2 linked regions of the Coturnix japonica genome follow. The protein of the gene in region 2 interacts with the protein of the main gene of each other region in a pairwise test. Links are inferred from orthologs where the notes say so. Each region holds a gene or a part of one and is shown on either strand. Other genes may lie near its edges.

Evidence for each region. The genes of interacting proteins can lie anywhere in the genome.
Region 1: the proteins of REL (region 2) and UBE2K interact in binary tests that used the Homo sapiens proteins (3 or more experiments, as listed by UniProt). The two-hybrid records come from large-scale screens. The link is inferred for Coturnix japonica from reciprocal best matches to the Homo sapiens genes REL and UBE2K.

The regions. Positions count from the first base shown.
Region 1 is NC_029519.1:62,493,253-62,500,770, forward strand, and holds the start of UBE2K (ubiquitin-conjugating enzyme E2 K), read right to left. Parts: upstream 4,732-7,518; 5' UTR 4,725-4,731; coding exon 4,572-4,724; intron 1-4,571. UniProt on the Homo sapiens protein: Accepts ubiquitin from the E1 complex and catalyzes its covalent attachment to other proteins. In vitro, in the presence or in the absence of BRCA1-BARD1 E3 ubiquitin-protein ligase complex, catalyzes the synthesis of 'Lys-48'-linked polyubiquitin chains.
Region 2 is NC_029518.1:5,499,839-5,506,627, forward strand, and holds part of REL (proto-oncogene c-Rel), read right to left. Parts: intron 6,370-6,789; coding exon 6,227-6,369; intron 3,664-6,226; coding exon 3,515-3,663; intron 1-3,514. UniProt on the Homo sapiens protein: Proto-oncogene that may play a role in differentiation and lymphopoiesis.

The DNA of each region.
Region 1 (7,518 bases), on a different chromosome or scaffold from region 2:
GTGAGTGGTGTTTCTGTAGTGCCAATAGTGGGTCACCTCCAATGAGGCAGGTATCTTTAATAAGCGTAGCATGCAGGCTCTTGTTCTTCACTGGTGAAAACACACAATCACCACCTACCATTAGCTATGTTGAAAAATAGTGTTCTGCAGCTGAGAATTTGCTCTATCAAACAGTGTTTTTGTGCTCTTAGTATCTGTTGTAGTTTCCATGGAAATAAATAGCAGGCATTACTTTCACACATAGAATGTAAACTCTCAGAACTGATTATCTCTGTGACAAAATAACTCAGCTTTCCACATCTTAAACACAAGGTTTTTACTTGGTTTGTCAGATGCTGAAAGCCAGCACAGTAACTATAACGTTTAACCAAAAGCATTTCCCTTAATGTAATACAAGTAATAATAATTAGTGTAAAAACAAAGGATAGTAATGACAGGAATCTTTGGGTTGAGAAACCAAGCTCAGTGAGTAACATCAGAACTCCACTAACTATGTGCCCTAATTTAACAAGTTCAATGTGACTGAATGACCTTTAAACATGACTCAAGACTGGACCGTCAGCCAGTACTTTCTTGCACACTTTTACAATTCTAGAAGTTTACTATGATAAAACAGAAATCATCTTTAAATTTCAAACCAAGTAAAGTGAACTAACCTTAGAACTCGTACACTTCTTTCCTATTAAAGTCAAACTCCTAGAAATAAGCACAGAAGAATGAATGGGAGACTGGGAAGGTTAAATAACTGGCTGATTTCTACCATGAGGGGTCCATTTGGTTGTGGTCAGAAGGCAGCGCCCAGTAGTAGCTGCAGCTTAACTGCAAATCCTAAGCTTACTAACCCAGTCCTGTAACATACAACTGTACATTGCCTCAGGATTTTAAAAGATAACGAAAGACAATCAAACGAGCCTGACTTCAGTGGTTACCAAGGTTTTCCTGCTTTCTACTACCTTCCAGCATCTTTGGGATTCTTCCAAAATGAATAGTGTTCACTAGAAATCTCAGATACACATTAACAACAAAAACGCTATTAACTGAACAAGGGGAACAAGTAACAGAACTTGCCTTCCCTGCAGAAGTACTATTAACAATACATGGCCAACTCACAGGTCTGGTCAAATGATCACTAGCGCTGTGCACTGAGTACCCTGAATGGTAGATTTGAGCAGTGCTATGAATAACACTAGTGTTCATCAGTATCTACACAATACTTTTTAAGAAGTTCAATTGTATTCCAGGTGTAGCAAACCAAGTAAACCAATAGTTGAGGAAGATCACTGAAAAGTGAAAGTAGTAAGAAGTTCTCATGAAATGCCCTAGAAAACGCGTTTTGTTTTGAGCAAATTACTCTTTAAATAACAAGAAGCAGCAGCTTATGGACCAAATCCTTTAAAGGCTGAGATGTAGAGATTCATCTCGAGTTATTCTGCCCGAGGGACACGGTGTAACAGTGGGTCAGGTTGGTAGTTGAGGCTGATCACTTTGAAGGCCTTTTCCAAGTTACATGATTCTGTGATTTTCTAGTACAAACTGGAAGACATGACCAAACACACCACAGAGAATTAAGAAAACCAAAAGGTGCACAGTAATGGCATTCCAGTTATACTTTTTGGTAACCTCTAATTACTGAGGAAAAAAAAGCTCTAACCCTTGCCTGTTGTAATAGGCAGAGCTTAAAATACACAGTGGAATTCTTTCCAGCAAGGTATAAATGATACCACAAATAGCCATCTTCAAGTGAAGATCCTCACATTTCAAATAAACAGAACTTTTAGAAGAATTATGGATTTCATATCCATTCTACCTTCATGATTCAACCCAGAACTCATTCAGCCTAATAAGATTTAATCAACTTGGCACCTACCGGAAGAACTAGTCTCTAATTTGTGGACAGAGGATTCGTTATCATCTTACAACAGCAGAAACTTCCCAGATAAAGAGAAAAATGCTACTTCAAAACCTCTGATTTGTTCACAGAGAAAATATTTTATCAGGTCTGGAGACAGTAATACAGTCATAGACCATTTTGAGTTGGAAAGAATTCTTAATGGTCACCCAGAACAACTCCCCTGCAACAAACAGAGGTGCCTACAGCTCAGTCAGGTTGCTCAGAACCCCATCCAGACTCTGGATGACTTCGGGGTCAAGGCATCAACCACCTCTCTGGGCAACCTGGTAGTGCTCCGCTACCCTTACCATAAAAAATGTATTAACTCATATTAGTTTAAACTTATTGAGGGGTACTTGATCCCACTGTTGATGTCACCAATGAAAACACTAAACAGCACTGAGCCCTGAGGGGCATCACTAGTCACTGATCCTTATCCAGACACTGTGCCACTGACCACCACTCCCTGGGTACAAACTTGCAACCAGTTCCTCATCCATTGAGCAGTCAACCCATCAAATCCATACACTTTCAATTTGGAGAGAAGGGTGTTGTGGGGACCCTGGCATTTTCTTTCACAAAAAAGAAAACACAACCACAGCACTAATTTAAAAGAACCTTATACTAGAGACAAAAAAAACGATGCAGGAAGAGACATTTGGTGGGCATCTAGTCCTACCTCCAGCTCAAAGCAGGTCCAACAAAAGTAGGCTGCTCAAGAACTTGTCTCACTGAGTTTCTGAATATCATCAAGGATGGGGAATCCACAGTCTCTCCATTCAATCAGTTCAATGAGACAACTGTAACGCCATTTTTTTTCCCCAGGTTCCAGTCATAATTTATCATGTTCCAGCTTTTACCTGTTGTTTCTCATCCTACCCCTGTGCGCCACCGAAATGTTTGATTCTCCTCTGGAGTCAAGTACCTGTGGTGGGTTTAAGTGGCCACCTTTCTGCCCCTCTCTCACATCACATAGTCCCGTCCCTTAATCTCCCTTATGGCATTCTACTGGACTCACTTTGGTGTATTAATGGATTTCCCAGAACAGGGCACAGCACTCCAGATATGGTCTCAGAAGTGCATGGGAAAGTGAAGAACCACTTCCTCACCCCTCTCTGCATTCATGCTAAAAACAACCCAGTGTGCAGTTGGCCCTCTTTGCCACAGGTCTTTTTCTGCCAACTTGCTTTGTCTCCAGTCAGTCCCCAGAGCATACACGTATTGATGTACAGTGTTACTTCTCAGATTCAGGACTTGGCACTTAACAGTTAACTTCACAAAGCTCCTGTCAGTTCATTAATTTCTCCAGTCTCCACACAGCCCTCTGCAAAGCAGCCTGTACTTGACACACTGCTGCCTCCCTCCCCCCCAAGTCTGAGGCCATATGCAAGGTTTCTGAGAGGCACACCAAAGATTTGTACCAACACGACAACTTCATTGTAGAAGTTCTCATTTTTACGCTTCTTTTTAATTAACTAGGCCCACTCTAGCTCCACTCACACTCCGCACTTACTAAACCTACACTTGACCTCAATAGACCAATTCTCATGAATCAAGACTTAAATATCTGCCTGAGCAGAAAGTTGGCATTGTTTAAATATTACGTTGCTGACTCAGGAGTCATAATAGAAGACATTTCATCTTTATACATCTGCATTGCTCCTACATAATAAATGGTAAGAAAAAAACCACCACACATCCACAGTATCCATCAGGCCTTTCTAATGACACCGAAGCACAATTACTAGTAAAAGCTTCCATTTTAGTGAATTCAGTTTCTAGTACCCAAGACTGCTCAAGTATAAGATGAAGATGATCAGGGGGCTGGAGCACCTCCCCTATGAGGACAGGCTGAGGGAGTTGGGTTTGTTCAGCCTGGAGAAGAGAAGGTTGCGGGGTGACCTCATTGCAGCCTTTCAGTACCTGAAGGGAACTTACTCCCAGGAGGGGAGTAAACTCTTCGAAAGGGCTGATATAGCAGGACTAGGGGTAATGGTTTTAAAGTTAAAAGAGGGAAGATTTAGGTTGGATGTTAGGGGGAAGTTCTTCATTAGGAGAGTGGTTAGGCCCTGGACAGGCTGCCCAGGGAGGTTGTGGATGCCCCGTCCTTGGAGGTGTTCAAGACCAGGTTGGACGGGGCCCTGGGCAACCTGATCTAGTAAAGGTGTATGTTTGGTGGCCCTGCCAGGCAGGGGGGTTTGGAACTACATGATCCTTGAGGTCCCTTCCAACCCGGGTCATTCTGTGATTCTGTGTGATTCTGTGATAAGCAAATCAAATACAGTAAAGTTCTTCTGAACCTCAGTTCACCGCTCTCCAGTTACCAAGATGTCACTTAGCAGCTTACAAACTGCCAAGCATCCCAACACCACCAGCAGCAAACAAACAGCACAGCTACTCACTGCAAGTCTAGGGAGGAACACAGTATGGCACGCGATTGTTACTCTTCCCTTCTCTTTTACAACACAAAATCACATAGCAGACTCCAGAACAAATATCGACTTCCTTCTTGGAAATGATGCAACTCAATTTTTGCCATCAACATACTGTTTCCACTTGAAAACTGTTTGGGACTCACGTTACAAATTTTAACTGCTACTGCACATATCTGCTCTTGCAGATACTCCTATTCTGCAACTACAGTCGAGTTTAATTTATTTGTAGCTCTATCTGTGTTTACCTTCCATGCAGATAAACCTCTGCCTTTTGATACAGGGAAGAGGAACATTCTGTGGTAGAAAAACCACCAACTTTTTTCTTGCCAGAAGGAAGCCATGTTTACCGAAGTGTTATCCTCAATGCCACAGAGAAGCAATTTCACTCCTAACAGCATTTCACAGAGAGACGGCCAGAAATCTCCTTACATTCCTGCATGATGAAGATATTGGATGGTCAACTCCACTGCCAGCACAATACCATTCCTTAAAGCACATGTGATACTATAGTAAAATAAGAAAAAAGATTTACACATTGACGTGCCTGATGAACTAAACCACTTGTCAGCACCAGCCCATGAATGAACACAATGTTTTTCAGCGCTCGTTGTTAAATACCAGATCCTTCCCCTCATAAGACAGCTGCTTACAGACAGAGATGGTAAGAATCTGGCTAGCACTCCAATAACCCTGTTCTGGAATAATATCAGCTAACCTTCACCAAAGCCTCTTCCCAGCCATCAAAGCGAAAGATACTGGGCTGTTATTCCCCCTCCACCAATTGTTAGTTTCTCCATCAAGCTGCAGCTTCACACTTTCATTCAGAACATGTTTTGCTACTTTGGAATTTAATTTAGCCTAACCCATGAAACTAACAAGATAAATTAATGAAATGACAGAAGAAAGAAAGAGTGCAACTTGCCTAGACTATGATTCAAAACAGTGCATGAGTTAATCACTGTTTACTACTTTAAGTTTTCATAGAGGAACAAGACGGTACCCTCCAACCTATATTACACTAGTCAGGTTATTACCTACATGAGCAGCTTCACTTTTGTTGAATACGCAGGACATCAGCAACCTGAACATTTCAACTCTCCTCCTACTCTGAAGACAATTCCTCTGTCTCTCAATGGGGAAACTGTTGTCAGTCTCACGTACCTCATTTATAAACTCAAAAGGTGCAAAGCTGCAAAGATCTCTACAACGCCCCATTCCTTAAATCAACGTGCAAGGCCTTATTAAAACAATTAAAAAAGACAGAAATGCTACCAAAAAAAAAAAGAAGCAAAAAATATTGAAGTGTGAGAAGATTTTAAAAGCCTTGTCAGCCCCTCCCCTCCTACATCACAAATCCCTCAGCTCCTACCTGCAAACCAGAAAGCAAGGCAAGGCTGAAGGCTGTTGTAGTGATTTCCCAGAAATACTATTCAATGTCACAGAAACAGAAAGCACTAAGGATACTTAGGCATATCAGTATTAAACTTTATCTACAGGAAGAATAGCACACTTCACAGAATTACCTCTTCACCAATATTTAAAGTGAAATTTGGTGCTTCCAAGCACAGAAGTCAAATACCATCCAGCTTCTCCCTTTTAAATGTTTCTGGTTCTCCCACCTATTTCAGTACCAAGATGAGAACTTGAAGATGAGAGCAAACTCCCTCTTGTGTTCTTCCCAAATGTGCCCAACTCCTCCCCAGGCACCTGCTCTCCTACTCTGCACCTGCAGAGAAACAGGGGCTGCTCTCCATGCTAAGGTGAAGCTCAAAGCACCAAATGAAGAATAATTAAAGCACAAATAACATGAGTCACTTTGCCTTCAGAGAGGGACTTCAACTTGTAAGTAACAAATTTAGCATCACCATTTGTGTTTTGTTTTGTTTTTCCCCCTTTTAAAGGACCAAGGTTTGAGACTAATTTCAGTACATAAATAATGCAGGGAAAACAACCAACCACAATTCTTTCCTCTTTGATTTGTACATTGAGTTATACCACCATCCTCCATTCCTCATCTCAATGCATGTGCTTTCACATTAGTGGTGCTACTGGTACCACAGTCTGACTGTCTTTGAGCATACAAACATCCAAAATACACTGTGCTTGTCTAAACTGTAGGTGCTGATGAATGCTGAAATTCTGTCTTCACAACAGGAGAATTACTATATCCTTAAACAGCAACTCCATGTGAATTGCTTTATCAATATAACACTCCTCCATGGCTAGCTAATGGCAGGGGGAAAATATCAAAGTCGTGCATTTTAAGTTTAAGATCTTGTAGCTTTAGTTCTGTAAGGATCAGGGGAGTTTTGTTCAGCTTAAAGATCACTTCATGGTATTATTTATTTACAACATCCTACACTGGGCCCTTCAACACAGAGACTAAACAAACGGGAACTGAGACAAATGCGATCTCCAGATCCAACCTTTACAGTAATAAAATACAATAATAATAATCAGCATGGATCTCCCTCTCAAACTGGGGAAGTTTTCTTCCCCTCCCCTTTTCCGCCCTAAATAAAACAAAAGGAAAATATCTTGAAGCTATTAGACTCCAAATATCAGCGGTTACATGGAGCACAGGGTCTAGACCTGGTAGCTTTGGTACAAAAAAAAACACACTAAGAATGTTCTCTCAGTTTACATGCAATTCTGCCATCACTGTGCAAGAGTTTGGTACATCAACCTGGGCTCTAAGGCTATAAGAACCCGGCCTGTATACTACTTCAAGGGGCTCATAAAAGCTGTACAGCAAAATGGTGCTAGCACACTTAAAGTACATCAACTACTGTTATGCTAAGCACGTTTTCCCTAAATCATCAATGTATTTTAAAGATATCCCCTCAACTTTTCCTCACTAACATGTCCAGATTTCTAGAACACCAGCTTTAGGAGTTACACGCTCCCATTAATATTTCACAAGCATCTAACCTGCAACATCATCCCAAGTAGGGCGATGATGACGACACAACTATTAAATCCTATCTGGCTGATGTTCACCAACTCAGATACGAGCACAGCAAGAGCCATACCAACGTGATGTTGCAAAGGGTGCTATATTCCCCTGCACAGATTGGAACTTCCTTAGCGCCTTCCTGAGGGCAGCGGGCCATTCTTACCGACCGCCCATGCCCTCAGGTACGCATCGTTTCAGAAGGATGCAGGTGGAAACGAGGGAGACTGGGTAAGGAC
Region 2 (6,789 bases):
AAATACAGTCAGTCTCAGGTCATTGAAAGTGAAAAGTATTTAAAGCAAACCTTATTGTTTGCATCAGTTAAGAATTTGTGCTCCTGCTTTTATCAGGGAATGTAAATCTTGAACACTATTTTTAAGGCTTTTGATACAAATAAAAGCACTTTCTGAAATCTCATGTAGCTACAGAAAAGTTCTCAAGAGCTTCAGCTCTTCTTTATTTGCATATGAGTATAGGTCACCCCAATGCAGAAGGCGGGGGGAGTCCCAGGCAAGCTGACTGTTTCCCACATGGAAAAACCATGACATCAGAGCTGAGTGGATGTAAAACAGGAAGTTAAAAAATAAAAACATTTCTAAAAATTCATGTTTCACAATGTTACAGTAAGCTCAGAAGATAAACCACGGCAATAGGCTCTGCCTATCCTGCTCCAGAACCAGCAACATCCCTTCCTTTGAAACAAAACAAAAGTTCTTTAGTTATGCCTAAAAATCAACTTGATCCACCTTCCTGCCACAACTCTTAAGAGCAGTGCTACGTTTCCCTGCTCTGAACAAGACTACCCAAGTTTAATTCCCCTAAAGCACCTTGCTCGTGCCCAACACAGTCCGTTCAGTGATTACCAAAATCACTGCAATCAGAATCCTCTTCCAGAGCTTTCACTTACTGGAAGAACGCACAAGCTTCCCTCTGAACTTGACACAGTGACTCAAAAATGAAAATGAAACACAATCAGCATGTCATAGCTCAGTAAATCGCTTGGGTTTCATATATGACTACTGACAATGTTGATTTGTATTTCACAATTCTTTTTGTATATTCTACTCTTTTAGGGCTTGATGACAGCACACAACTCAGCTCTTCTTTCCTAAATATGCACTTTATTCTGCTAATTCAGTTTGAACCATACTTCAAGTCCACAAACAGGCCTGGTTCCATGTTACAGCCCAAAACTGCCACATGAATAGGCCCAGACTCTCCGGCAATTCACCTGAAGTCACAGACATCAGCTGAGGATGCATATAGAACTAGCCTCACAAAAGCTGAATCCAGCTCTGCAAGGACCAAGAACCTTTATACTGTTTGCTTCAAGCACTGTGAATTAAACCACCTGGGCAAAGAAACTAGACTTTTAAGCACCCCTAACTTTCAGATTATAAATGTTTTCTAAAACATGAACTGCAGCAGTGCAAGTGTCTATTTAACAACTGTCAAACAGAGGACAGGATCAGAGAAGAAACAATCAAGGACCTCAGGAAGCCTGCAGGGTTTCACATAAACACTTGCTGACTGGAAGCAAGCAAGATAACAAGAAGAGAGGGAGAAATAGGAAGAGAAAAAAAAGAAAGGGGAAAAAAAACCAGAACAAAAAACATTTAAAAAAAAAAAAAAGGACCAAACATTAAAACTATGATATCATCCATGTAGAGAGCACGAGAACTATGAAGTAAAAATCTCAGTATGCAGGCAATCACTTGAGCTCCAACGCTGATACTTTTGCTTTGATGTTTGGGACAGAGGGAGCTCTGATCAAGTTCAGGCAGCAGCACAAAGAGCATCAGTCAACAAGCAATACAGGAGGTTTTGTTCAACTAGGATTACACAGGGAACTTAAATAGAAGGCAGCCCAAAATCTGGGTAATTCCAGTTACACAAAATAATTGGGATTTTTTTTTCCTTTGATTGAGATGCCTAGAAAGAGTAAAGAGCTAGAACCACTACCTGCTCACTTGTATTGTATGATGTTCTTCTCTAACGCAGACTCAAAGAGAATGTGAAGACTGATTCACCAGCCACAAGAACGAAAATGACTTGAAACATCCAGATCCAATTATGGATCACGTTGTTCCTTCATCTTACAGCAACCAGTGACTTGTTTTAAAAAAAAAAAACAACGAAGGGTACCAAATGCTAAAAGCAATTCAAAAAGAGCCTCTTCCCATCAGGATCTTCTCTTTCAAGCTGAACTGAAGCTCACCACAGCACTATGTCAAATAAAATGACTTGATACGTGCATATAACAGACATGAAATAAATACAAATTTGCAAAGCAGCTCAGTACTTCTGGCATTACAACCTATAGCTCGTAAAATTCAGGATCTCTGAGGGCTTAAAATGCGCAACAAAGTACCAAGAGGAAAAACAATCATCAGGGTCCTTCTTTCCCCAGTAGATATAATACATAGCCAGAAAAGGTGTTAAGCAATTAGGCTTTATTGCTTTAGATCAGAAGCCACTGAGATGAGAACTCGAAGTAGGATGGGCTAGAACAGCAGGCACTGTTTGAACCTGGGTAAGGAAGCATGATTTGAGAAAGCATGGAGGAAGGTAGTGAATGAATGGTCAGACGAAGGCGAAAGGTCTCCTAACAGTTTAAGACACCTATGATGGCCATGTAGACAAGATGAACTCTTTGCAGGGAGGCCAATGAGGATGATGTTACAATATTCAAAATGCAAGGTAAGTATCTGAAGAGACAGTTCTATCTTTCTCTTATGGTGGAAAAAAATAAATAGGAAAACAGCATTAACTACCATTTACCAGCTAGGAGAAGGTTGAGAACAATGCTAAAAACAAGCAAAAAGAAAACCCGTGTCAGATGTCAGCTGAATGTATCTACTATACGTTCATGATCACTTGAGCCTGAGCTGTACACTGTAGAAGTATCTCCACTATTAAAACAGTTTATTCCACCATCAGACAATTATTATCATTAAACAAACTGTGTGTCTTCAGTTCTCTCCTTTAATACTATTCTACTGACTAAACCCACATAAATACAAAGTAATAAGTAATAAATACAAAATCCTAATATCCTCCTGAACAGCACTGAGAAACATGTTTTATACAACGCCTTAATTCCTCTTTACTACTTCCATGAATAGGTCATTCCCCGGCATACTTGTTCTACACAGCGAGGCTGAGTAGAAACTGTATTTTCACTGAAAAGAAAAAGACACCACCAGAAAAAAATAACCCACCAAGAAAACCCACTTAGCAAACAGAAACAGCAGTGACAATCGCCAACACATTTCTAAACAGGTGACAATCATCAACATCATCTCAACAACATGATATTCAGTGTAAAATTTCTCCTCCCGTTTCCACAAAGTCCAAATACAGTTTCTGTGAAAGACGTGAATTACGTGAGTCTCAGGAAGCATTAATTTGAGTGTTGTCATTAACAATCCTATTAGTCATTATTTTCGTACACTGAATGTAGGAGAGATCATCAAGCTCAAGAAGTGCTAATGAACAGGACTAAAGAAGCAAGTGGAAGAAAGGAAATGGAGACTGACATATGGAGACTGACATATGGAGAGTGAAGACAGGAGAAGAGCAGAACAGAAAAGGAGTGTGTGAAACACTGAAAAAGGAACTAGCTCAAGGAAACCTTTGGACTTATCTCCCAGATGGATTAGTATGCTGCCTTTGCTGAAGCTTACTAACTGCCCTCTTAATTTTAGACATAAGATCAGAATATCGCTTGCACGATTAATCAAATTGCTGAACACCACCACTACTTACGACAGGACTCGCCGTTCGGGCCCAAACTCTGCTTCATAGTAGCCATCTCTGCAGTCTTTTCCGACTAGATCATGAGGGTGTGGCTTGTAGGGTTCATTCTTCGTTACCAATGTAGTTCTAATTTTGACTTTTCCAAAATAGTTCAGAATCTACAAGAATAAGAGAGATTTTCTCAACTTCAGATATCAGGACTAGCAAAGTCCAAGCACATAACAGAAAATACATTTAATCCTAAAATACTGTACGGAAGAAACACCACAAGTAAGGAATTGTAATATTGCCTCATAAAAGAAAAGCCAAGACCATTTCAGTTCTTCATTGGAAATTAAAACAGCTTGTAATGTTGTAAGACCAAAAGAGGACGTATTTCACACCAAGTGTTACAACGTGAGATGCAAAATTCTACCTAGGCAACTGTACACAAATGTTTATTTAAAGAGCGTTCCAGCTCCAAAGATGTTTAGGAAAAAGCTCCTAGAACCTCAGGGATAATCCCTGTGAATGGAACACAAAGGAGGCAGTGAGGATCTCATAAAATACAGCATGACATAAGCCCCTGCCAAGCCTTTCTCTTTAATCTGAAGATGAGTACCCAGTTTCACATTCAGTAAGAGGGGCACTGCGTTCTCCAGCCCCACTAGCGCCTTCAAAGAAGTCAGGCTCTGTGCACATCTCTCAGGCACTCAAGTCTTCCTTCATACTGACAACTATCAGTGAAGCCAGCAAGGTTTGAGTGGGAGTCTAAAAAACAGTTTGACCTAAGATGTTTGAAGTATAACAACTTGAAAACGCTTGCAAGGCTTGCACCAGCACAGGTTGTACAAAGGTGTGGTCTCCACCTCCACTTCCTTCATCCTGTAACTGTTCTTCTTCCTTCAGCCCTTTCTTACCTCTTCCAAGATACTCCATGGATCCATCACACGCTTCTCAATCAGCACCTCAACCTTTCACTTGACTTATGCTCTAACTTCCATCATCTCTCAGTTTCTTCAGTTTCCAATCCAGCTGTCAGTATTCATACACACTACTTACCCTTAAATAAAACTCCAACCGCTCTTTCAGCTTCTTAAATACTGCATTATTTCTCCCTCATTATATACCTAGCCCCTTAAATGTGAAGACCCCTAGCAGCAAATCAACACCAAAGCCTCGTACAGGCTCCAGGGAGGCAGGAATTCACCCAGAAATCACCTACTATCAGCTCTGTTATCAATGGTCATGGTTAAAAAAAGAAGAAACTATGCCAGGACTGCATAGTTACCTACTGAGTCCCACCTTCCCTTCAAGTTCTGGATGATGCTCCTGTGCATTATGGTCAAGGATGAGAGGAATCAAGGGCTCATACCACCCCGTCATCTTCTGTCAAAGTATTTATTTCTGCCAGCACATATACAAACCTTGCCAGATTGCTTTTTCAGCACTTTACCAATTGAACAAAGAACTACTTCCTACATTCCTGATTCAACTCTGGCACTATAAACACAAAAAAAGGGTCTTTCTTGTTTGCTTTTCCCTTAGGTATTCTGGCTTCAGAGGAAGATCAGCTTTCACAGCAGCACTGTTGCTTTATCTTAGTAGAAGCTCTCTATGCTGCTCAACACGTAACTGCCAATACTACCTTTCTCAACTCTCCCACTTCTCAAGGAATTTTTATGTCTCAGTCTAAAGCATTTCATTTTTCAGATTTCACATCTTCTGTACCTATTCTTTTATCTCTGTGATTCCAGATACTCCATTCTTGGTCCACTTTGTCTTTTAAATATTGCACTGTAAAAATATATATCAAGATGGCAAGTACTCGTTACCTTCCATTCACGTATTAGTTTCTACTATAATCTCATCTCTGAAGGATCTTCTCCAGACTGAAGGTAACCAAGGAAATATTACCAACCTAAACATCAAATAGGAAAACAGAAATTCTTCTCCTTCACCCAACCTGTCTAGCATCTCTTACATTCCTCAGTTCTGCATATGAAAGAAAACAACAGCCAAAATCCATACTGTCCATATGTTCAGCCCTGCTTTGATCAAAGATTAGTATGAACCCCTTAATTCTGGATTTCCCAACCTAACCATAACACAGTCATCCAACTAGTTTTCATTGCAGGTGCTCTCACCATTTATTTCCTCTTTCTCAAATCCTTTTAAAATTCTGTATCCCTTCTGATTTCACACACTTCACAGTGGTTTCTTTTGCAGAGCCTAATCACTGAATCATCTGCTGCAAGTCACTTTCTCGCTTTGCTCATTTGTACAAAGTGTTTCTTCCCACTTTACACCCAGCACCTAGACTGGCCTTTTCACATCTTGTAAGCAGACAACTTCCTTCAAAACTCTCCCAAAATTCACATTACAATCAAAATAGTAAAAACAAGCCCAAATCACATCACTAAGGAACTAGAACAAACGTAAATGCAGAAAGAGTTAATAACTCAATGATTCCTTAACAAATCTGCTAAGTTCCTTTTCTACTGGCACTTTGCTACATATCACTGTGGCTCCTCCTTCTCTGGTAAATGGGAACAAAATCTTTAATGTCTAGAAGCAAAGAACTCTTTCATGCTGCACTGCAACTACATCTGCATGCCAAGGAAAGAATAACAGAATATGTAATGAAAACCATTTTATTTACTGCACCAAAGACAACATGTAGCTACAGCACAATGTAAACATGGGCACTGGTAACTTATGGATAAAAGTAGTATTAATTACCTGTATAGATGGGAATGTCTTGTTGTTGTCAGTACTGTGTTCTCCTGGAATGCTCCCTGCTGATCTTCCTTCACATTTGTATCTGAAACGCATGCCCCTCTGCCTGGGCTGTTCAAATATTTCAATGTAGGGCTCTGAGATACCTTAAAACAAAACAAATCTGTTTAAATTTAGAGCTTAAAAAGAAGCAGAAGGCAGGCTATATGGTTAAATGCTATGTGAAAACTGTAAGGTCTCCACTCTTTGACTGATATTATTCATCTTTCACTTGATTTGTCTTCTCAGATGATAAATGTTTTTTAAAACATGAATGCACATGATAGGGTAAATGGTGTTAATAGACATTACATTAAATCTCCAGGTATCAATGCCATATTAATAATAAACAGGACACCCTCCCCTCCATCTCACCCAGAATTTTAGATTCTTTTAGCTTTTAGAGAGCACGTATCTGATGAAATAATGTTTCATACAACAGAATACACCATTTCAAGAGAATGGTTAACATTCTTCATTATTATAATACGGTTCTCTCCTCAAAGTTCGGGTTCCATCAATATTAT